Stegostoma tigrinum: one gene and its partners. The protein of the gene in region 1 interacts with the protein of each later gene in a biochemical or structural test. Links are inferred from orthologs where the notes say so. Each region holds a gene or a part of one and is shown on either strand. Other genes may lie near its edges. The genes, in order: serine/threonine-protein kinase OSR1-like, wnk4a and wnk1b.

The links.
Region 2: the proteins of serine/threonine-protein kinase OSR1-like (region 1) and wnk4a are reported together in a solved structure, tested with the Homo sapiens proteins (2 studies listed by BioGRID and IntAct, with this or other methods). The link is inferred for Stegostoma tigrinum from reciprocal best matches to the Homo sapiens genes OXSR1 and WNK4.
Region 3: of the proteins of serine/threonine-protein kinase OSR1-like (region 1) and wnk1b, one has a biochemical effect on the other in vitro, tested with the Homo sapiens proteins (2 studies listed by BioGRID and IntAct, with this or other methods). The link is inferred for Stegostoma tigrinum from reciprocal best matches to the Homo sapiens genes OXSR1 and WNK1.

What each region holds. Positions count from the first base shown.
Region 1 is NC_081358.1:99,195,822-99,203,467, forward strand, and holds the start of serine/threonine-protein kinase OSR1-like, read right to left. Parts: upstream 3,046-7,646; 5' UTR 2,781-3,045; coding exon 2,711-2,780; intron 1-2,710. UniProt on the Homo sapiens protein: Effector serine/threonine-protein kinase component of the WNK-SPAK/OSR1 kinase cascade, which is involved in various processes, such as ion transport, response to hypertonic stress and blood pressure.
Region 2 is NC_081384.1:15,197,972-15,205,709, forward strand, and holds the start of wnk4a (serine/threonine-protein kinase WNK4), read left to right. Parts: upstream 1-4,675; 5' UTR 4,676-5,176; coding exon 5,177-5,797; intron 5,798-7,738. UniProt on the Homo sapiens protein: Serine/threonine-protein kinase component of the WNK4-SPAK/OSR1 kinase cascade, which acts as a key regulator of ion transport in the distal nephron and blood pressure.
Region 3 is NC_081371.1:20,510,055-20,518,071, reverse strand, and holds the start of wnk1b (serine/threonine-protein kinase WNK1), read right to left. Parts: upstream 3,036-8,017; 5' UTR 1,962-3,035; coding exon 1,155-1,961; intron 1-1,154. UniProt on the Homo sapiens protein: Serine/threonine-protein kinase component of the WNK1-SPAK/OSR1 kinase cascade, which acts as a key regulator of blood pressure and regulatory volume increase by promoting ion influx.

The DNA of each region.
Region 1 (7,646 bases):
AATAAATATGCAATTTCCCCCAAACTTAAAATACCACCAATGAATTTGGTGAAGACATTTCACCTATAAGATTCTCTACCTCCTAATATCAATAAGTCTGTGCAGGTAACCAGTCTCAAAATGTCTGCCAATTAACCACCTCAGTATTAAGAGTTTGAAAGGAAGGCACTTCCCTTGACTTTACCTTCATGTGCAAGATATGCAACTTTCCAAACTTCCTTGATAGATTGAAATGAAACGAAAAGTGCACCTTCAATTACTTACAGTAGTCATTTTTTTAAAAAAGCCAACGTAAGAGATAAACACACAAACTGAAAATACGAGTAGCCACCATTGGGCTCTTCTGGGATTCATGCAATATGACTATAGCTGACCATCCAACTCAATAGCCCAATCTCACTTTCTCTGTACCCTTTAATCCCTTTCACCCTAAGAAGTGTACCAATCTCCTCAGAAACATTTGATGTTTTGACCTCAAGAGATAATGGGAACTGCAGATGCTGGAGAATCCAAGATAACAAAATGTGGAGCTGGATGAACACAGCAGGCCAAGCAGCATCTCAGGAGCAGATGTTTTGACCTCAACCACTTTGTGGCAAAGAATTCCACAGGCTGAATACTAACTGGGTGAAGTAATTTCTCATCTCAGTCATAAGGTCTACTTCAAATCCTCTGTGAACGTGACCTCTGGCTCTGGACTTCCTGCTCATCAGGAATCTCATCCCTGCATTCAGACTGCCTAGTCCGGTTAGAATTTTATAGCTTTCCAAGAGATCACTACTTATTCTTCTTAACTCCAGTGAATACAGTCCTAGCCAATCCAATTTCTCTTCATACATCAATCCTCCCATCCCAGCGATCAGTCTAGTCGGCCTTCACTGCACACCCAGCCCCGATAGCCAGGATATCCTTCCTTAGGAGAGGAGACCACATTTCTCCAGGTATGGTCTCACCAAGTCACTGTATAACAGCAGAAGCCATCACTGATTTTGACACGCTAACCAAATGACAGAAACCAGTAGTGGCAGAGCTCAAGATCACCAAACTCTTTCCTCACACACCCTCTTCTCACAACAATCAGATGAAATGGAAGCTTAAAGTGGAGAGAGATTAAAAAAAATCAGTAGAAAAAGCCCTCTGATCCACTTCAACATTCTAAAGTTATGAATAACTCAGTTGTATGGAAAAATCATGCTTCTACAATTCACTTTAATTCTAATAGCGTCTGTGTACAAAATGATCTTTACGAATACTAAGTTTGGTAGTGGGAGCATCATCTTAGAAGCTGCAAGTTTCACACACTATCCTGCCCCATTTTTATAAAAATGATAAAATGCATACAATAAGTATTATACATCCTGCATCTAGAGTTCACTTCTATTTTTCCCCACCTTGGTAATGGCACTTCTCAAAATTAAAAGACACAAGCTATATACAAGTTGTTTACAATTGAGGTACTTATGTTACTGCTTAACAGCATGAAAATTATTGGAAGGCCAGAAACAAAGTATAATACTGCAATTTATCTCCTCAGTATTCAACCCACCCTCTTCCCCATGCCTTTCCTCAGCTCAATCCATACTACCAGCAGTAGCCCAACAAGAAGTGAACTCAGTCCAAACAATAATCCAAGCAGCAATGTGCCTGTTTCCAGAGATTGAGTCTCTTTCCAAGATGCAAAATTCAAGATCAACAAGGTACCAAACATGACCCCCACTTCCGTCAGGGCACCTGCATTCCTCCTGACACTTTCAAAACATCACTGGGGAAATCATGGACGAGTTACACGAGGATAACCATTGTTCACTGCCTCTAGTTAATAACTATTGCATAGTACAGTATTATAGTAATTTTAGCTGGCTTTGAATTTTAAAAACTTTCTTGTTGGAACTGAAAAGATAGATAGACTTCCCTCTATTGGTATTAATTTTGAAACAAAAATTAGCGACGAATTTAACACTGCATTTCGAACATTAAAAAATGGGGCTACGCTGGATCGTTCGCATGCTCCAGTGAAGCTAGCTTCATGAAAACATCACAAACAATATAAAAATCCACACATCTGTCAAACTAATTACTCCATGCTATCATACCAAGTATAGATCCTCTTTTTACAAAATGGCCTATTCATTAACTTGCAGGCATTTGTTTAAGGGTTAGTCAGCTGATTTAATAACGTGGCATTGAGTGTATCGTTAAAGACGATTTATAGATTTTTAAACACACTGCATTTCGTTCTTCCTATGGGCAAGGTTCCCGATTGATTCGTGGCAGGTCTATTTTATTGAGTATGAACAGAGAATTCAGTATAAAAACTATAACATAGAAAAGTCGGCCTATTCCTTTGGACATAGCCCCCACCATACTGTACTAGTCTATTTGATAGACGAATAAATTATTAAACAAAAAAAACTAGATGCAGTAGGCCTCTCCCTCAAGTGCAGTCAGCTGTTTCTTCATTTAGTCTTTTTCAAAAACAAAAATTGAAGTGCAGCAAAAGAAAACGCTAAAAAAATACAAACTGAAACAAAAAAACTGCAAATATACAACAGCTTCAAGGCTTTTATTATTGCTGCAGGATGACCAGAGGCCTATTCCGAGTGGCTGCAACTACACCCATTGCATGCACATCCTGTCTGCTAAAGTATATCCTTTTCAACCTTGCGAAAAACAAAAATGAACAAAGAAAGCTGCGTTTCCAACAACTTACCAATCACCTCTTTGAGTTCATAATCCTCCCTGATGATGGACCAGGGCAAGGAGCTGGGATCCTCGGACATTGCGAACGAAGCTGCAGCCTCCGCGCTTCCTACTTCACTCTATTTTAGGTTGTTCTATTATGCTGGGTCTTTATTTCGCTTACTGAAACAAAGTTATACTTCTCCTAACTGAAGAGAAAACTACTGGCCTACACTGCAGAATCAAATCACTCTCCTCTCCTACCTTCTCGACTACTCTCGGTCTTTCGCACAGACACAAAATACTTCCAATCCGCAAACTTTGCCACCAGCTGGAGTTACCATGCCTCCCAACCGCCACCCTTCCCAGCTCTCATTCGACATCCTCGATACCCGCCCCTCCCGTTGCCTAGAATCTATTGGCCAAGTACGCTGTCCATCAATGGTGACGGTAACGGCGCGACGCACTGCCGTCCCCAGCGGTGATGGGAGGGGATCCAAGACTGGTAAAGGCGGGGGGTTGACTCTGAGACTCCAGCCGTTCGCCTTGTGCGCGTGACGGCGTCAGCACGTCGAGACGTAAGTGAATAATATGATTGACGTTACCCCCCCCTTTTTCTGTTACGTTGGGCCCCATCGGTTGGCCAGAGGGTCGCACATTGCAGCAATCGGCAATGTCAAAGGAGACAGTAGGAATTGCAGATGCTGGAGAATTTAAGATAACAAGGTGTAGAGCTGGATGAACACAGCAGGCCAAGCTGACGTTTCGGGCCTAGACCCTTTAAGGGTCAGCTTTCCTGCTCGTCGGCTGCTGCTTGGCCTGCTGTGTTCATCCAGCTCGACACCGTGTTATCTCAGCAATGTTGATGCTGGTCTGTCAGCATCTGTAAGTAGAACAGGTCGGTGCACTTCCCTTGGTTCTCGTTACTCGATTCTGTTTACTAACCTTAACTCGCACCCCCCTTCACATATACAAGTCTCTGTCTTTCTATAATTCGCTGTTTTGTGTTTATAAGAGTTTTCAGTTTAAATTCCACATTTCCATTTCTGGCACTTCCGACTTTTTATTATAGCAGTGGGTTAATTTGATTTATGCCAAGACCTTTTGCTCTTGTACAGTCGAAACTCTAAACTAATAATCTTCGAATATAATTTTAAAATATACTGATCAGTTACTACTTGTACTTTTAAAAATATTTAGCCTGACCAGTATTCCAGCAACATTGCCCAGAGGAGATGTAATCTTTCTGAATAAATAGGTAAGACAGCATTAATTCAAAAATAGTTTGTATTTATGTTACCTTTTACACACCTGGTCATGAAGAAGCTGCTTTCCCTAGGCTCCAACACATCCAAAGGAACTCTCATCAGTGTAATCCTGTTTGGTCTCTGATCTTCTCCACAACCCACTTCAAACTCTCATTCAAAATTCTTACTCTGGAATTTTTTGAGGTGTTTGCTGCAAAGAACAAGGTCTACATAGACTTCCACAGGGCTTTTTGTGAAGTCCAACAGGAACAGTTCGTTAGCAAAAATCAGTGTGCCTTATCAATATGGATTGGTAATTAGTTGGAAGGCTGGAGACAAAAAGTAAAGGTGGCTATTTGATTTCTTTGGTTGAAAGAAATGACAAGTATCATTTCACATGAGTTTATCCTACAGGCCTGAACATGTTAACAATTTTATCAATGTTTTGAATTAATGTATTGTAAATCCAAATTTACAGATGGCTCAGTAGATTGTATGTGTAAAAGTGGAATTTACAACGAGATGCTGACCACATGAGTGGGTTGACCTATTGTAGATGCAATGAAGTTAAGGGAAACACGTGATACATGCTTCAGATCTATCAAAAAATAATCAAGTTGTGTTTTTAATGATAAAAGACTAGACAGTGTGGAGAAGCAGTGTGATTTAAATGATTCACATTTAAATCACACTGCTTCTCCACATCACAAACAAGTGAAAAAACAAAATACTGTGGAAGCTGGAATTTTTAAATAAAAACAGTTTTCAGTATAAACAAAGCTGACCTTTACTTCAAGTGAGCAACAGTACAAGGAGGAGAAAGAGACTTCGGTTGTACAAAACCTTGACCTGCTGCCCATCTAGAGTGCAACATTTAGTTCTTAGTGTTGTACTTAAGGAAGGTGTATAGTCTGTACTCACAAGAAAAAGTTACATGTGGGTAAGTTACATAAATCTAACCAGCACGGTCCTGACTAAAATCTTAGTGTTCACCTTTGGTAACTTGAATCTATCCAAAGTTCTACTGCCTGAATCTTAACTTGCTCCGGGTCCAGTTGGTCTGTTACTCTACTGATTTACATTGGTGTCCAAGCAGATATACATCAAATTCAAATTTCTTAATCATATTCAAATCCAAATCCGTCTGTACCCTGGATAATAAAGTGTGAAGCTGGATGAACACAGCAGGCCAAGCAGCACCTCAGGACCACAAAAGCTGACGTTTAGGCCCAAAACGTCAGCTTTTGTGCTCCTGAGGTGCTGCTTATCCTGTTGTGTTCATCCAGCTTCACACTTTATTATCTTGGATTCTCCAGCATCTGCAGTTCCCATTCCCTCTGTGCCCTGATCCCTTTGTGTCCTTGCAATTTTTCTGGCCACAGTCTCTTCCTCAAATTTTGGCTTCATTTTACATTCACTGATTTTCCCATTGGCAGCTATTTAATCAGCTGTAGGTGCTAATCTCTGGAATTCTCCTCCTAAATCTCTGTACTTTTCACACTGTCTCCTTTGTTAAAACATTGCTCAGTACCTACATCTGGCCAAGATTCTAGTCAACCCCCTCTTGAATCTCCTTATTTGGTTCAATTACAGATCTTGCTCAATACCCTGTACAATATAAGCATTAATTTCCTGTAATTAGTAAAATTTTACTTCTGCCACAAGCTATTCCTGAATAGTGTCACAGACTGCATTTGGCTGTTTGTAAAACCTCTGTATCATATTTTATCATGACATGAGCTTCTATCCATTCATCTGCTTCATCCCGACTGCCAACTTTTACCGTCAATACACCATGTGGCTCTCATTCTGCTTCTGCCTCAGCTAACCTGCTGATAACCTCCGCGATGTTATAATCCCAGCTAATGTCAAAACTGGACAAGTCAGATCCTGGAGAGAAATCTAGGTATACACCACTTTTTTTTTTCATTTACCATGGAAGTCAATCACTCAACAAGTTCACGAGAGGTTACCAATGTATTTTTAACAAAAGAAATAAAAGCTTATTGCTCAGAAGAAGAACCTCATCCCATCCCCTTGACAGTTTGTCCTCCCTGGACTGACCTATCTCCTCTCTAAATCCCCACCTACACTCACCTTTACTGGCTCCATCCCCGCATCTTTGAGCTGTCTGTCTCCTCTCCACCAATCTTCTCTATCCATCCTCTATCCGCCTCCTCCCCTCTCCCTATCTATTTCAGAACCCCCTTCCCCTCCCCATTTTTGAAGAAGGGTTTAGGCCCGAAACATCAGCCTTCCTGCTCCTCTGATGCTGCTTGGCCTGCTGTGTTCATCCAGCTGTACACTTGTTATCTACAGTATTGCAGGTATCGTCTTGCTAAGGCCCTGCAAAACTGCACTAAGGTATCCCTACTTCTGAACTCCAAACCTTTGCTGTGAAGGTCAATGTACTATTTGCCTTTCTAATTACTTGCTGTACCTGTCAGTCTGTTTTGATTAACTAGAGTACCAGAATACCTAGACCCCTTTGTACATCTCCACTTCCCAAAGATTGAAATAATTTCTTTCCTTTCTGTTTTTCCACTGAAGTGTGTTAAGTTCCCATTTAGCAATGTTGTATTGAATCTGTCCACTCAGTTGACCTATCCAAATAACCTCAGTTAACATGCCCAAAAGTCTCCTCTCAGCATATAGTCCTGCCCTTTGAGGGTATGGGGGGGCATGTGGAGAGGGGGATGTGGGAGGGCAGGGCTGGGGATGGAGGAGGTTGTGAGTGGAGGAGGGGTGGATGGGGTTGGGAAGATAGTGTTTGGGGTGGGGTGGAGCGTGGAGTTGTGGGGTGAGGGAGATTGGGTCAGATGAGGAGGGAGGGAGGGGTGGGTAGGAGCTGGGGAGGCGGGTAGTGTTGAGGAAGCAGGAGGGCAGCAGAAAATTTGGACAAGCTAGAAGAGTGGGCAAAGTAGAAGCAGTTGGAATACATTGTGGGAAAATGTGAGGTTATCCACTTTGGTAGGAAGAATAGAAGCAAATACTATTTTCTAAATGGGGTAAGGCTTTGGAAATTTGAAACGCAAAGGCACTTGGGATCTGTCGTTCAAGATTCTCTTAATATTTATATGCAGGCTCATTTGGCAGTGAGGATGGCAAATGTAATGTTGGCATTCATTTCAAGACGGCGAGAGTACAAGAGCAGTGATGTACGACTGAAGCTTTATAAGGCTGTGGTCAGGTTGTGAGCCCTGTATCTAAGAAAGCATGAGCTGTTGATGGAGGGGGTCCAGAGGAGTTTTACAGGAATTATCCCAGGGTGAAGATGGCAGGTTTCAGGCGAGAGGAGAAAGCTATATAAAGAACCTAAGGGGCAACTGTTTCGTGCGGAGGGCGATACATGTGTGGAACGAGCTGCCAGAGGAAGTGGTGGAGGTTGATAAAATTATAACATTTAAGAGGCATCTGGATACCTATATGAATAGGAGGGGTTTAGAGGAATATGGGTCAAATGCTGGCAAATGGGACTGGTTTAATTTAGAATATCAGGTCAACAAAGGACGAGTTGAACCAAAGGATGTGTTTCTGTGCTGTATAACTCTAGAAAAGGTTTGTCACATGAGGAGCGGTTGGATTTTAGAAGGATGTGAGGGGATCTGGCTAAACCTTACAGAATACTGAGAGACTTCGATAGTGGACGTGGACAAACCCGAGTAGGAAAGGCTAGGAAACGAGGGCACAACTTCTGATTGAAGGGATGACAATTTAGAA
Region 2 (7,738 bases), on another chromosome or scaffold:
CCCTGGAACTATTCTTGAAAATCTACATGCTCTCAAAACCTTAATAAACTTCCTAAAAACTAAGTGATCGGAAATTAATGCAATAATCCAGTTGTGGTCAAATCTCAATTTAGAAAGCGAAGGAACTGCGGATGCTGCTAATCAAAAACAGAAGTTACTGGAAAAGCTTGACAGGGCTGGCAGCATCTGTGAAGAAAAATCAGAGTTAACATTTCGGGTCCGGTCTGACCCTTCCTCAGAATTGACGTATAATCTTCACTTTTCCATTCCTCCAAGTTTAATACAGTTGAAAAATTTTGAAATTTTTCTTTATATTCTAATATTCAAGTCAAAAAGGGTGTCAGTTGGCTAAACGGATGGTTTATATATAGAGTGACACTAACAGCATGGGTCCATATCCTGTGCTGACATCACCATGCAGGTCTTAGCTTCTCAACCTCTCCACTTACCTGAGGCATAGTTATTCCCCGGGTAAACCACCATCAGTCATGTCTCTCTTCAATCTAATAAGGGAGTGGTCCGCTGGGACTATTGTGACTTTATAGATCAAAAACAGGGTGGTCTTAACACTGACTCTCGATAAACATTATTATCTACCATCCTCTAGGATGATAAACATCAGTTTGCCGTGACTTATTTATGCTGTCCTTAAGCCAAATGCTTAACCAAACTGATACTGGTTCTCTTAACCAATGAAGTTTTATGGGGTACTTTGTAAAAAGCTTTCTTAAAATCCATGTGGACAACATTTTTGTAACGTTGCATTCAATTCTGGTCTCCCACCTATAGGAAAGATGTTGTGAAACTTGAAAGGATTCAGAAAAGATTTACAAGGATGTTGCCGGGATTGGAGGGCTTGAGCTATAGGGAGAGACTGAATTGGCTGGGGCTATTTTCCCTGGAATGTTGAAGGCTGAGGGGTGACCTTATAGCAGTTTATAAAATCATGAGCTGCATGGATAGGGTGAACAGCCAAGGTCTTTTCCCCAGGGTAGGGGAGGCCTAAACTAGAGAGCATAGGTTGAAGGTGAGAGGGGTAGGACTTAAAAGGGACCTAAAGCTAACTTTTTCCTGCAGAGGGTGGTGCGTGTATGGAATGAGCTGCCAGAGGAAGTGGTGGAAGCTGGTACAATTACAACATTTAAAAGGCATCTGGATGGGTACATGGATAGGAAGGGTTGAGAGGGACATGGAACAAATGCTGGCAAATGGGACTAGATTAATTTAGGATATCTAGTCAGTATGGACAGTTTGGACGAAAGGTTCTGTTTCAAGCTGTACATCTCTATGAACCTACGACTCTATAACGTCCACAGCAATCTCACTAACAAATATTTCTCTACTTCATCAAAAAAGTCAATTAGATTAGTCAAGTACAATATGCTATTCATAAATCAGTGCTGACTGTCTTTGGTTAACTTTAACTTCTTCAAGTGCCAATTCAATTTTCCTTTAGATTATTGTTTTTAAAATCATACTCACAAGTGATTTAAACTGACTCGTCACTGGGAATGTTCTTACACACTTTACACAAAGGCTATCACATTTGCGACACTAATCTTCTGGCACATCTGGGTAAGTTTGGAAAATTATGACGAGCCTGTTCACTATCACCATTCTTGCTTTCTTTAGCAATCTGGGATGTCAGCCATCCAAACTGAGTGACATATTTTCTACCAACATAGTCAGTCTTTCCAGTGCATCCTGGCCATTCATTGTCTATTGGTATTCTTTAAGAATCCTTTGTAAATAGCAATAGAAAATATTCATCAATAACCTCAATTTTCCTTGTCACTCTAAGCAAACTCCGCAATCTTTATCCCTAACAGACCAACATAATTTCTTACTCAAAAATAGACTTTGCTGGAAAAGTTCAGCAGGTCTGGCAGCATCTGTGGACAGAAATCAGAGTTAGCCTTTTAGGTCCAGTGACCTTCCTGTTTATTTTATGATGGTGGAGATAGAATCCAAAGACAGAGAACAATAGGTGGACAAACAGCAGGCTGGAAGAACACAGCAAGCCAGACAGCAATGGGAGGAAAGGAGCAGTTAATGTTTTGGATATCACCCTTCTTCAGGACTGGAGTCTTGAAGAAGGATAATATCTGAAACATTGACTGTTCCTTTTTTCCAGATGCTGCCTGACCTGCTGTGTTCTTCCAGCCTCCTGCCTGTAATCTGCAGTTTCTTCGTCTCTAAGAGAGAAGAACAGTTGGACAGAGAAAGGAGTAGAGATGATCGGTCTAGGAGAAAGAATAATTACTAATGAGAACAATTAGCGTCGAACAATGGTTGCATGTCATAGCAGACCATGTGATAACAAGGCTGGTGTGTAGCAGTAGGAGTAAGGACATGGGAGAACGTGCCTCATACATTAAAGTTGTTGAACTCAATATTGAGTTCAGAAGGCCATAGCGTTCCCAAACAGAAAGTGAAGTGCTGTTCTTCCGGCTTGCACTGAGCTTCGCTGGAGCGCTGCAATAAGCCTGAGACAGAGATGTTGGCCAGGGAACTAGATAGTATGTTGAAGTGACAGGCAACTGGAAGCTGAGGGTGTTTTTGCAGACAGAACATAGGTGTTCTGTGAAGCAGCCACTCAGTCTACGCTTCATTCCCCCAATGTAGAGGAGACCTCTTCATTTTATTAGTTATTACTATTCACATGCCAGAAGATGATTTTTGGGTTCTCTTTAATGTTGACTGCCATTGTATTCTCAAGTGTATCTGAAGTGAAGCAGATTTGCTGCTGTCCTGAACAATATTCTTCTCTCAAATGCCACTACCAAAACCAGACAAACTATCAACTCCACTTACCGTCTGAAATTAATTATGATTAACTAATTACTGCCTGGCAGTAACGATAGTGACTGCATTTCAAAGTTAATCATTAACTTTTGAGCTTATTGGTTGATCCTGACGATTTGTTGAGGTGATATTCACGCATGAATCTTTTATCTTAAAGCTGGTTCAGTCATAAGTTATAATTCTGTAAAGTTGAAATCAGGGTGACTAGTTTATAGTAAAAACTGAAAGAACTGTGAATGCTGTAAATCAGGAACAAAGACAAAGTTGCTGGAAAAGCCCAGTAGATCTGGCAGCATCACTGAAGGAAACAAACAGAATTAACACTTCAGTTCGGGGACCCTTCCTCAGAACATTAGTTTACAGTGTTTGAATAAGTCAGAATTTTAGTTTGATTGCCAGTTTTAAGTTTCATTGTTCTTCCCAATTTTATCCACTTTTCCATGCATTTGGAAAACCAATGGTCTCCAATACTATCTTCATGACTTATACACTATATGACATGGAAGAACAAGTACATTCTCCCAGTTTAAAACTATTTGCACAAATCCATTGAGATAACAAGGTGTAGAGCTGGATGAACACAGCAGGCCAAGCAGCATCGGAGGAGCAGCAAAGTTGATGTTTCGGGCCTAGATCCTTCAGTCTAGGCCCGAAACATCAGCTTTCTTGCTCCTCTGATGTTGCTTGGCCTGCTGTATTCATCCAGCTTTACACCTTGTTATCTCAGATTCTCCAGCATCTGCAGTTCCTATTATCTCTGCACAAATCCTTTAATCATTAGTGTCTGCTTATACTTTTTGTGTCCAATAGATGTAGGCACCAACCCTCTCAATTGTTGGGTAATAGGAGTCCATACAACAGAAGAGCCCCCAACACCCTGCTCCATTAGATTCTAATCACCTTCCGCTATCAACAAGGGGCTCTTGCGGTGCACAGTGTCCCAACCTCTGGGCCAGGAGGTCTGTTTTTTTCTGCTCCAGAGGTCTGTAATCACATCACTTTGTAGGTTAGTCATAAAACTTGCTCTGCTATAAACATTCCCACTTAGACTGGAAAACAGTGTTTATTGAGATCCACTATGTTCTGGATGTGAGTTTGCTCGCTGAGCTGGAAGGTTAGTTTCCAGCTCAGCGAGCAAACTCACATCCAGAAACTCATCCTGAGTTACAAATCTTCTCGAAACTCACTATCCACTATCTTATTCAGTTTAAGTCACTAATGGTGCAGTGGTGGTGTGTGTACCTCTGAGCCAGGGGCCCAGGTTAGAGTTCTCTCCTGCTCTGAAGAAGGGTGAAGGCCCAAAACTTCAGCCTTCCTGCTCCTCGGATGCTCCTTGGCCTGCTGTGTTCATCCAGCTCTACACCTTGTTATCTCAGATTCTCCAGCATCTGCAGTTCCTACTATCTCGGTGTCATAACAGGTTGGTTGAAATATCAAAGCCTGCTCCATGGAGCTCACAATAAAGACCATCTGGATCATGCTCTATCAGTGATAAGCAGCCTGATCTTACTTCCAGTAACGTCATACCGTCATCCGCCATCCAACAGCAACCCCCCCAACCTCAAGGGAAGAATATGTACACTTCAAACCGCACCCCCCCGATCTGTGTTGTGAGTTGATAGCAGCTCTGCTTCTCATGCTGGAGCCTCTGGCCCGGCTGGAGGACGTGACTGGAACTGAGTGAATGTTGCGCCCGATAAAGGAGAACTTTGTCCATTCAGATCCTGCTGCTTCACACAGTGCCTCTTTCTGGCCGAGTGCCTTTTGAAAAAAAATTCTGAGCGCGCCCAGCTTTAAAGGACGCTTTTCACTCCCTCCGCACTTTGTGTACTGATCTTTCAGCACGTGTGAAAACAGTAGGAATTTAAAGGGATGGTTCAGAGAGAGAGAGAGAGAGAGAAAGAAAGTAAAATTACCTTTCGTTTCCCCCCTGCAATTTGGAGAACCAAGTAAATAAACACTGAACATTACCCCCACCCCGGTTTCAACACGCCCCCATCCAAATTAGCGACAGTCTGCCCTGAGCCAATGGGCGGTGCGGGGACGGTCTGAGAGCAATATCAGGCGTTAGCGGAATTACTGCTGTCTCTAAGCACTTGTCAATTCAAAGTAGAGCCCCTTTTCATTTCCCTCTCTAAGTTACTTTCTATTGCTGATGGGGGGGGAGTGTCTAACAGACTGAAAGGGGCAGGCAAACGAAAGAATAAAAGTAGTGAGGAGGCAAATGTTTTCCGAGGAGCGGCTGGTGCAACATGAAACACGATGATGTTTGTGGTTGAATGTTGTGCTTTTCTTGAGACCGTGTCAGCGAGTCTTTCCTCAAGGGCTTTCCCTTGGGGTTCGAGCGAAGTTTGTTGGAGGTGGTTGAAGCATGTCCAGGACGATGTCCCAGGCGGAGGTGGACCTGGCTAGATTCGGGCTCATTACCTCGACCCTGGATCTGGATTTGGATCGTTCCTCCCACCTCAGTAAAGCGCAGAGCCGGCGGCGGAGAATGCCTGCCAGAGACGGCAGGAGGATCCCGTCCCGGTACCAGAGGAAACTCTCCGTCGACGTCGAGCTGGGAGCTGACGGTCTGCTTGTCCGTCGCCCTTCCCGAACCCTGGTGCCAGTCCCGGATAGCCAGCCCCCGCCGCCCGCTGAGAACGGGCCGCTAAAGGCGGGCGGACCCACTGCCGGCGCCCCGCCGGCTCGCCTGGCGCCCTCGCCGCTCCAAGCTGCTGCTGCTGCTGCTGCGGCGGCGGTGGTCGCGAACAGCTCGGACACGGAGGATGGCAGCCGCCGCTTTCCTCACAAGGACTCGGTTTCCGAGCTGCCCGAGGAGAGTAAGATGGAACCGGAGGAGAACGAGGTGGAGATGAAAGCGGTCGACACCTCCCCCGACGGCAGGTTCCTCAAGTTCAACATCGAGCTGGGAAGAGGTTCCTTCAAGACGGTCTACAAGGGGCTGGATACCGAGACCACGGTGGAGGTCGCCTGGTGCGAGTTACAGGTAAAACGATGCAGAGTCCGCCGGGCCCGTCACATCCCAGGCTGTAAGACCCAGGGATATTGTGTCACTCAGGAAAGCTTAAATACTGTTCAAGAAACTTCCACAACTTGTAAAGTGTTTTTTTTTGTCAAAGCATAGTCACCGCAACAACGTAGGGAACGCTGCAGCCAGTTCCTCACAGCAAGCCCCAAGCAGCAGCAATGTTGGCTTTTTCTGTGATTCGAAGTGTAAATATTGGCCAGATTTTCAGGGGCGTTATCCATTTACTGCAGAGGTTTCAAGTCTCATTCAAAGCCTACGGTCACACTAGTCTGAAAATGCCTGATTTTGGAAGCTGTGGCGTGATTAGTACTTGGATGGGAGACTGCATGGGAATATCAGGTGCAATAGGCTTTTGGGGTGGCACAGTGGCTCAGTGGTTAGCACTGCAGCTTCACAGCACCAGCGACCCGGGTTTGATTCCACACTCGGATAACTGTCTGCATGGAGTTTGCACATTCTCCCGGTGTCTACGTGGGTTTCCTCCGGGTGCTCTGGTTTCCTCCCACAGTTCAAAGATGTGCAGGCTAGGTGGATCGGCCATGCTAAATTGCCCATAGTGTTCAGGGATGTGTGGGTTATAGGGGGATGGGTCTGGATGGGATGCTCTGAGTGTCAGTGTGGATTTGTTGGGCTGAACAGCCTGTTTCCAAACTGTAGGGATTTTATGATAAAAGGCTGCAGATGCTGTAAATCAGGAACAAAATCAGAAAATGCTGGAGAAACTCCGCAGCTGCTGAGCTTTACAGCAGTTTCTGTTTTGTACCCTCCACGTTGTGTTGAAGAATCAGCTTTTTAAATTCCAATTATATGGGCTTGAACCCACAAACCACCTGACTCCAAGGTAAATGACCTCAACTGATCCAGACCCAATATCTCATGCCTGACTGTCTTGCAGGAGGATGTCTAATGTTAATTTTCTCTGTGGTTGGTTGCAGCAACTTATTTTTATGCTCTGCTCTGCTATCTCAGCCTAGGCCTTTGTCCTAGGACAGATTTTAAAAGTATATCATGAAGTCAGGAATGCAGTTATTCATGAGTTTGTCAAAAAAAACTGATGTGACAATACAGTACCTGTAACATTGCTCCTCTCTCAGCAATTAAAATATAAAATTTAGAGACATCAGCCGCTTTCATACACACAATTCATCAAGGTAGCTGCTGAAGGGATTGAAAGGTGCTCGTAGTTTCAAGGGACATTGCATCCATCTTGCATCAGCATTTCTAAACTTACATTGATATAACACTGAAGTTAGATCCTGACAAACCAGGGAATTTGTGCAGTATCTCTAAAAATTGCATAATAAATGTACCCTCGGACTGAATCAATGAGTGTAAAGACAAGATAGGCTTAGTCTAAGCTTAACACTGACTTACTTGTTGGTACAAGTATTATAAATTAAGCTTACTTGTCAGTTGGAGGGGCATTTATTGTACAGTGTGTCTGCTGGCTTAGCTGTGTAATCTGGTACATTACACACTTGAGGATTAGGGCATTCTGTTATTAGTTGACATGGGTGGAACATTGGTTAAGAAAGATATTTCCCCAGTTCACTCTGTTTTGTCAATTGCCACCATTGGCATAAGCTTTTATTCTTGTGGTGTGTGGATCTGCTTGTGGTATACTTTGTATTTGTCCTAAAGAACAAAGAACAAAGAAAATTGCAGCACAGGACCAGGCTCTTTGGCCCTCCAAGCCTGCGCTGATCCAGATCCTCTAACTAAACCTGTCTCCTATTTTCTAAGGATCTGTATCCCTCTGCTCCCTGCCCATTTGTGTGCCCACCTCTACCACCTCCGCTGGCAATGTGTTCCAGGCACCCACCACCTTCTGCGTAAAGAACTTTCCACATATATCTCCCTTAAACTTTTCCCATCTCCCCTTGAAATAGTGACCCCTGG
Region 3 (8,017 bases), on another chromosome or scaffold:
AGGTATTGTCTTTTAAACAAAGCATCAAATGGAAACTTTCTGGTACAAGATGGTAGTAAAACATCACGTCACTACTTGCATTTGAAAATGAGATCTCTCTCCACTGTTCTGGAAAATACTTTTCCTTCAATGTCACTGAAACAAGTTATCTGGCCTTTACGTTGTCACATTTCTTTAACTACACAAAAAGGAACCTCTTTGCCACTTCTCACCATATACATGTATAAAATAAAATAACCTAAAAATATAAATATATACACAACAGAATCTATGGCATGGATTGTCAAATCAACGGTGCATAATTGAAACTAACATAATCAAGCGTCCAATGAAGGGCTAGGTACATGCATTTTGAACTCTACTCAAATTCAGTTAAAAGAACACAAACTTAAGCTACACTAATAGGAAAGTTCTCAGCCAAACATCCAGTCATCCTATACTGATTTCAAACAGGGTGACAGAAGGGTCTAGGCCCGAAGCGTCGGCTTTTGTGCTCCTGGGATGCTGCTTGGCCTGCTGTGTTCATCCAGCCTCACATTTTATTGTCTTGGAATCGCCAGCATCTGCAGTTCCCATTATCTCTGACAGAAATACACCAGTCTTAACACCTCATACCATGCCAACCCGCTGTGAGAGAATGAGGATGAGGAGGAGAGAGAGGGAGGTAAAACACAATTTTCAATTCAAAATATAGTCCAGCAAGCTCTATTCAAAATCATTCTTGTGGAAATATCAAATTTATTCAGCATTCATGGTCAAAGGTATCAATGTTCAAGACCATATCAAACCTGAACAAGAAGTTGTCAAAATGAAGAAAAATCACAGCAGGTTTTAATGGGACACAAGTTGTTAGTACCCTGGGAATGAATCCCTTAATAATACTAAAAAAAAGCTTTCAGATTCTAAATTATGCTTCTAATTGGCAAGTGTCAATGAATTATATTGCCACCTTTAATTTTAAGGTCTGCACACCACTTCTTTCAGAATCACAGCAATGATACAGGGCAGAAGGTGGCCATTCAGCTCATATCAAACTATCCTTTGGTAGTTAAATTTCTTTGAAAATACAAATACTAATGCAACAAGGATTTAAATGAAGTGGCTAGTCTTCCCAATGAAGACAAACGTGCCGACAACAAAAATACACAACTTACCTGCAATTCACACCAAGCTACTTCCACTGTAGTTTCTGTGTCTAGACCTTTATAGACGGTTTTGAAAGAACCTCTCCCAATTTCTATATCGAACTTCAAAAACCTCCCATCGGGGGAGGTTGCCACAGCCTTAGTCTCTATTTCTTCATTATCTTCTTGCGCCTTCCTCTCCTGATTTTTTGCCTCTTCCGCTTCTTTGCTCTCTGAACTATCATCATCGTTAGCTTTCAACTCGGTTTCCTCTTTAATTGGAACTGATTTTTGTTTTTTTCTGTCTTTGCTGCTACTGGTTGTAGTCCCTGCATGGTTGCAAACATCGGCATCGAGCGAACGAACAGCAGTTCTCGGTCGTTCATCGCCAATTCCAGCAACTGTGCTTCCATCCTTCGTATTGCCATCAACGCACTTTTCACATTTTTCTCCGGCAAAAACAGGAATTGCCGCAGTGACCGAGTCAACTGTCGTAGCTTGTACAGGAGGTTGCGCTTCGTTATTAATAGTAATACTGCTTATTAATGAAGCTGCATTATCCGATTCGGGTGGCGAAACGATAATACATGTCTTACTGGGCAGATGGTCCAACGCTGTAACGTTGGAATCACAGATCACACTTCTCCTGATAAAACGTTGGTGCTCTGCTTTGCTGTCCTTATCCATAGTATGTCGCCGCCTCCTAAGAGCCTTAAACTCTTCTTTTTTTCTCAAACTTACTCCAAAACGCTCCCCTATTGTCGTATCTGAACTCGAATTGGTACCATTTTTAGGGGGGCGCAACAAAGACCCAACATTGTCTGCGTTTTCCGACATTTCCACAAAAACTCAATTCCCAAAAGACTTCCCCAGAAGAATTCAGTGGTTTCTCTTCAAACAAGATTTCAACGCGAAGCACACTGCCGGTCAAATGGTTGAAATGCAATAAAAAGTACCAATTACGCGTAAAGACAAATGCAACCTGATTTTCTTTGAGAAGTCAAAATAATTCCCTGTTATGTTTGCGCAAACAGTCGGGTCCCTGGAACTGAAGCGTTCCGATATAAAAAATGAGATACGCAATATTGTCCAACTCAATCAGTTGCAACGCAGCGACATAAACATGGATCATCTGTTGTGATCCATCCATCCTTAATTAAAAATTTCGAACAATTTTCATCCAGTCTTCATTTCTCAAAAGGGCGATAAAGAAATTTAAAATGAAAATGAAAATCCAACCGATATAAACAAAGCCAAAACAGTTCCTTATTCCCGGATTAACTCCAAAAATAATATACTTTAAAACGGCCAGAACAAAAAAAGGGACAATCAACGCAACAATCCCTTTCAGCGATGCTGCTAGTTTCTGTTCCCTCACTAGAACAATTCCACGGTTATGGAAATGCGTCGGTTTATTTTAAGCACAGATAATATACAACGCCACGACTGCCCCGTCGATGCCATAAGGTTCTGCTCTTTCAAGCTTTCAAAATGGATGCGATGCCCATGGTTTTAAAGAAAAGTCACCAAAATTTAAATAGCCGACAGACGTGCAGGCTGCCAGATGGACTAGGCCGGGATGCTGCAACAATAGAAAACCCCAGGGTAAGGTCGATCTGCCGGGGGAGAGGCTCACTGCAGAGCTGTCCACATACGTAACATCCCGGCTTCTTCTCTTCCTCTTGTACTGGAATCGACTTTTCAAATAAAAAATACGCCCAGCCGGTTTCCTTAACGAACAAGTATCGTAGACCCAAGCCCGGGCCCCCCACACAGAACGGGGGAGGGGGGCAAAGAAGGTAAAACAGGCGAATCTCTCAGCTCGAAAATAGACACGTTCTTCCTCCCAACTGTAAATGGCGGATACACTGCCTCTAACTCACTTACTGGCACTTTCCGAGAAGCTGAGTGCTCGAGCTCAAGGCAACCCATTCACATGCGCAACACCACCGCACAGCCAATTGGGAAACGTAGTTTTTCCATTACAATTAGCAGTGTTGGCACATAGTTCGATTTGAAACACGCAAAAACGGAACTACAGTTCCCATCATGCTACGAGAACATTTCAGTTGGTTGGCGTTTATTTATTCCGCCCACTTTGCGTCTCTGTGGGAGCGTTGAGCTGAGCACGTGATATGGACAATAGGAGGACGGAAAAGGATGAGCTGTGGGTACCAGGGGAGGGGGCGAGGCTGGTTTTGGAAGCTTTGGTTATTGAAGGCGGAAAAGATTATATTTATTAAAATAGGCAATGATCTTCTCCAACTGCACATTCCTTCTGAAATGCACAGGTTTTAAATTCAATAAATCGTACATCGTTGCATGGTGGCGTGATAGATTCTCTCCTGGATGGTGATTCTCCAAATGAAATATAAGTGAAATAAAACCTTCGTAAGTAATTCCAGAACAAACATACATCTGAATTAACATACAGCGCACTGAGAGGGTTCAGAATCTAGAATGAGAAGCTGATTAAAAGCATTCTGGGTGCGTAAAATTCATCAAAATTAATTTCTGTTTCAATTTCTGTTTATTCAGGACCTGCTCGGCCTCGTTAAAACTACCGCACTGGATATTGCACCATCATAGTGAACAAAGTAAAATACATAGTTAAATCCTTCTGAAAACCTAATTTGCTCGTTCATTTTCGTTCGACTACGCTGCTTTCTTCGGTTAGCTTTAACTTTCAGCAGCAGAAATACACGACGATGGACGAGCTCTTGAATGCAAGCACGATGTTTGCAATGTAATTGTACGTGAAGACATTGCAGTAAGATCAAGAGAATTTTTTTTAAAAATCGACTAATTTGCTTTAATTGTAAACCTTCTAGTTAAGAGGATATATGAATGGCCTTTTACCAGGCCAATATTTTATAAGGAGAAATTGAAAATATGAGCAGGAGTAGGCTATTTGGCTTGAAGCCTACTCTACCATTCAATATGATCATGGCTGATCATCCAACTCAGCACCTTGTTCCTGCTTTCTCCCCATACCATTTTACCCCATTAACCCTAAGAACTATATTTTACTCCTTGAAAACGTTGCATGTGTTGGCCACAGCCACTTCTTGTGACATAGAATTCCACAGGTTCACTGCTGTCTGGGTGAGGAACTTTCTCCTCTTCTCAGTCCTAAATGACCAACCGTGTATATTTAGGCAGTGACCACTTGTTCTGGACTCTCCAGACATTGGAAATATTATTTTCTTTTATTCACTCGTGGGATGTGGGTCTTGCTGGCTGGCCAGCATTTATTGCCTATCTGAGTTGCCTTTGAGAATGTGATGGTGAGCTGCCACCTTGAACCACAGCTGTCCATGTGATATGGGATGGCCCATAATAGCCTTAGGGAGGGGCTACAAGGATTTTGAACCAGCAACATCAAAGGAACGACAATACATTTCCGATTCAGTGGTGAGTGGCTTGGAGGGGAAACTTGTAGGTGATGGTGTTGCTTTGTATCTGGTGCTCTTATCCTTCCAAATGAAGGTGGTTGTGGGTTTGGAAGATGCTGTCTAAGGATCTTTGATCAATTTCTGGAGTGCATCTTGTAGACAGTACCCACTGCTGCTACTGAATTTAAGTTGTGGAGGGAGCAGATGCTAGTGGATGTGATGCCAATCAAATGGGCTGCTTTGGCCTGAATGGTGTCAAGCTTTTTGAGTGTTGTTGGAACTGCACCTATCAGGCAAGTGGGGAATATTCCATCACACTCATTTCTTAAACCTTGTAGATGGTAGATAGGATTTAGGGAGTCATGAGCTGAATTATTCCCCGCACCTATAGCCCCTAACCTCTTGTGTTTATGTAATGAGCCCGGTTCTGTTTCCAATCAGTGGTTACCCCAAGGATGTTGATAAGGAGAAAGCGATTTGGTGATGGTAACACCATTGAATGTCAAGGGGTAGTTGTTTGATTATCTCTTATTGGAGAAAATCACTGTCTGGCATTTTCAAGGTGCAAATGTTACTTGCCATTTGTCAGCCCAAGTCTGGATATTGTCCAGATCTTGTTACATTTGTGCACGGACTGCTCCTGTATCTGAGGAGTCATAAATGGTGTTGAATATTGTGCAGTCATCTGTAAACATTCACGTTTCTGATCTCATGATGCAGGGAATGACATTGATGAAGCAGCCGAAGATGGTTGGGCCTAGTCTGAGAAATTCATGCAGAAATGGCCTGCAGATGGGATGACTGATCTCCAGCATCAACAGTCATCTTCCTGTGTGCGAAATGTGACTCCACCCAGCGGAGAGTTTGCCCTGTGATACCTATTGATCCCAGTTTTGCTAGGGCTCCTTAATGCCACAGTCATTCAAATGCAGCATACTTCTCAAGGGCTGTCACTCTCACCTCCACTCTGAAATTCAGTTCTTTGTCCGTATTTGAATGAAGGCTGTAATGAGGTCAGGATCTGAGTGGCCCTGGCAAAACCTAAACCAGGCATCACTGAGCAAGTTATTGCTGAACAGTGCTGCTTGATAGTTGGTGACACCTTCCATCTCCTTAATGATGATTGCGAATAGACAGACAGATTGGTAGTTGGCCAGTTTTTTTGTATAAGGCGTTATTGGACAATTTTCCACATTGTTAACTAGATGCCAGTGCAACTGTACTGAACCACTTGGCAAGGGGAGCAGTAAGTTGAGGAGCACAGGTCTTCAGTACTGTTGCTGGAATGTTGTCAGAGCCTTTGACTTCGCAATTTCCAATGCATACGACTGTTCCTTGATGTCGCAAGGAGTGAATTGACTTGACTGAAGGCTGATATCTACGATGTTGGGGGACAATTGAAAGAGGCTGAGACGGTTTATCCGCTCAGTACTTCTGGCTGAAGATTGCAGCGAATGCTTCAGCTTATCCTTTGCACTGTTTACTATGTCAAATCCTATTTGAATTTCATAGATTTAAATGAGATCTCCCTCCCCATCATTCTTCTAATCTCCAGTGAATATTGTCCTAACTGATCCATTCTCTGTTCATACTATCAGTCCTGCCATGCCAGGAATCAGTCTGGTGAACATTTGTTGTGCTGCCTCCGTAGCCAGAACATTCTTCCTCAGTTAAGAAAACCAAAACTGCACACCTACTTCTCAAGGTATAGTTTGCCAGTGTTCCATACAATTGCAGCAAGACATTCACGCTCCTGTTTTTAAACCCGCTTGTTGCAAAGGCTGACATACAAGTTGCCTTCTTTGACACCTGCTGCAGCTGCATGCTTACTTTAAGCAACTGGTGTACAGGTACACACAGGTTTTGATGCACCTTCCCCCTTTTTAAATATATTACCGTTTAGATAATAAACTGTCCTTTTTTTTGGTACCAAAGTGCAACCTCACATTTATCCACACAGTACTTCATCTACTTGCTCAATTTACCCAAATCGCGCTGATGCATTTCAGCATCCTTCTCATAGTTCAACACCTCTTACGGTTAGTTGCCTCATCTAAATATTTAATGTATATTGTAAATAGGTGGAGCCCAAGCACTGATCCCTGTGGTACCCCACTCGTCACCACCTGCAACTCAGAAAAGGTTTATTCCTATTCTTTGTTTCCTGTCTGTCAGCCAGTTCTCTATCCATGTCAATGCATTAGCCTCAATCCCACATGCTTTAATTTTACATGCTAATCTCTTATGGGGAACCTTATCGAAAACATTTTGAAAATCCAAGTAAACCACATCTACTGAATCCAACTTTATCAACTATACTAGTTACATCTTCAAAAAATATGAGTAGATATGATTTATCAAGCATGATTTCCCTTTCATAAATCTCAGCTAACTTTGTCTGATTCTGATACAATTTTCCAAGTTTTTTACCATTAAATTTTTTCCAGCATTATCTCTACTATTGATGTCAGGCTCACTGATCTATAATTCGCTACTTTATTCTTAGAAACCGTTCCAGACTAGAGCCAATAGAATCTTGAAAGGTGACCACCAATGCATCCATTATTTCTCGGACCACTTCCTTGAGTATTGTAGGATGTAGGTTATCAGCCACTGGGGATTTATTGGCCTTTAATCCTATCAATTTCCCCAAAACCATTTCCCTACCAAACCTAAGACAACAAAGTGTGGAGCTGGATGAACACAGCAGGCCTAGCAGCATTTTAGGAGCACAAAAGCTGACATTTCGGGCCTAGACCCTTCTTGAAGAGTCTAGGCCCGAAATGTCAGCTTTTTGTACTCCTAAGATGCTGCTTGGCTTGCTGTGTTCATCCAGCTCCACACTTTGTTATCTCGGATTCTCCAGCATCTGAAGTTCCCATTATCCCTACCAAAACTGATTTCTTTCAATTCATTCATCTCTCAATACCTTGTGATCCCCAACATTTTTGGAACACAATTTGTGTCATCCTTTGAAGCAAAACCAAAATATGTACTTAGATAACAAGGTGTAGAGTTGGATGAACACAGCAGGCCAAAACATCAGTTTTTCTGCTCCTCTGATGCTGTTTGGCCTGCTGTGTTCATGCAGGTACACCTTGTTATCTGATTCTCCAGCATCAGCAGTTCCTACTATCCCAAACTGTGTACTTACTTGGTCTGCCATGTCTTTATTCCCCATTATAACTTTCCCTGTTTCTAACTCTAAGGGACCTACATCTGTCTTCATGAAATACTTTCTCTTCACATATCAATAAAAGGTTTTACAAATAATTTGTATATTCCTTGCAAACTTACTCTTATACTCTATATTCCCCATCTTAATTAATCCCTTTGTCCTTCTTTGCTGAAATCTAACCTGCTCCTGATACTCAGGTCTGTTACTTTTTTGGCCAGTCTGTATGCCCCATCCTTAGATCTATCACTATTTTTAATTTTCCGTGTTAATCATGATTGGGCACCTTTTCCATTTTATTTTTGTGCAAAACTGGAATAAAC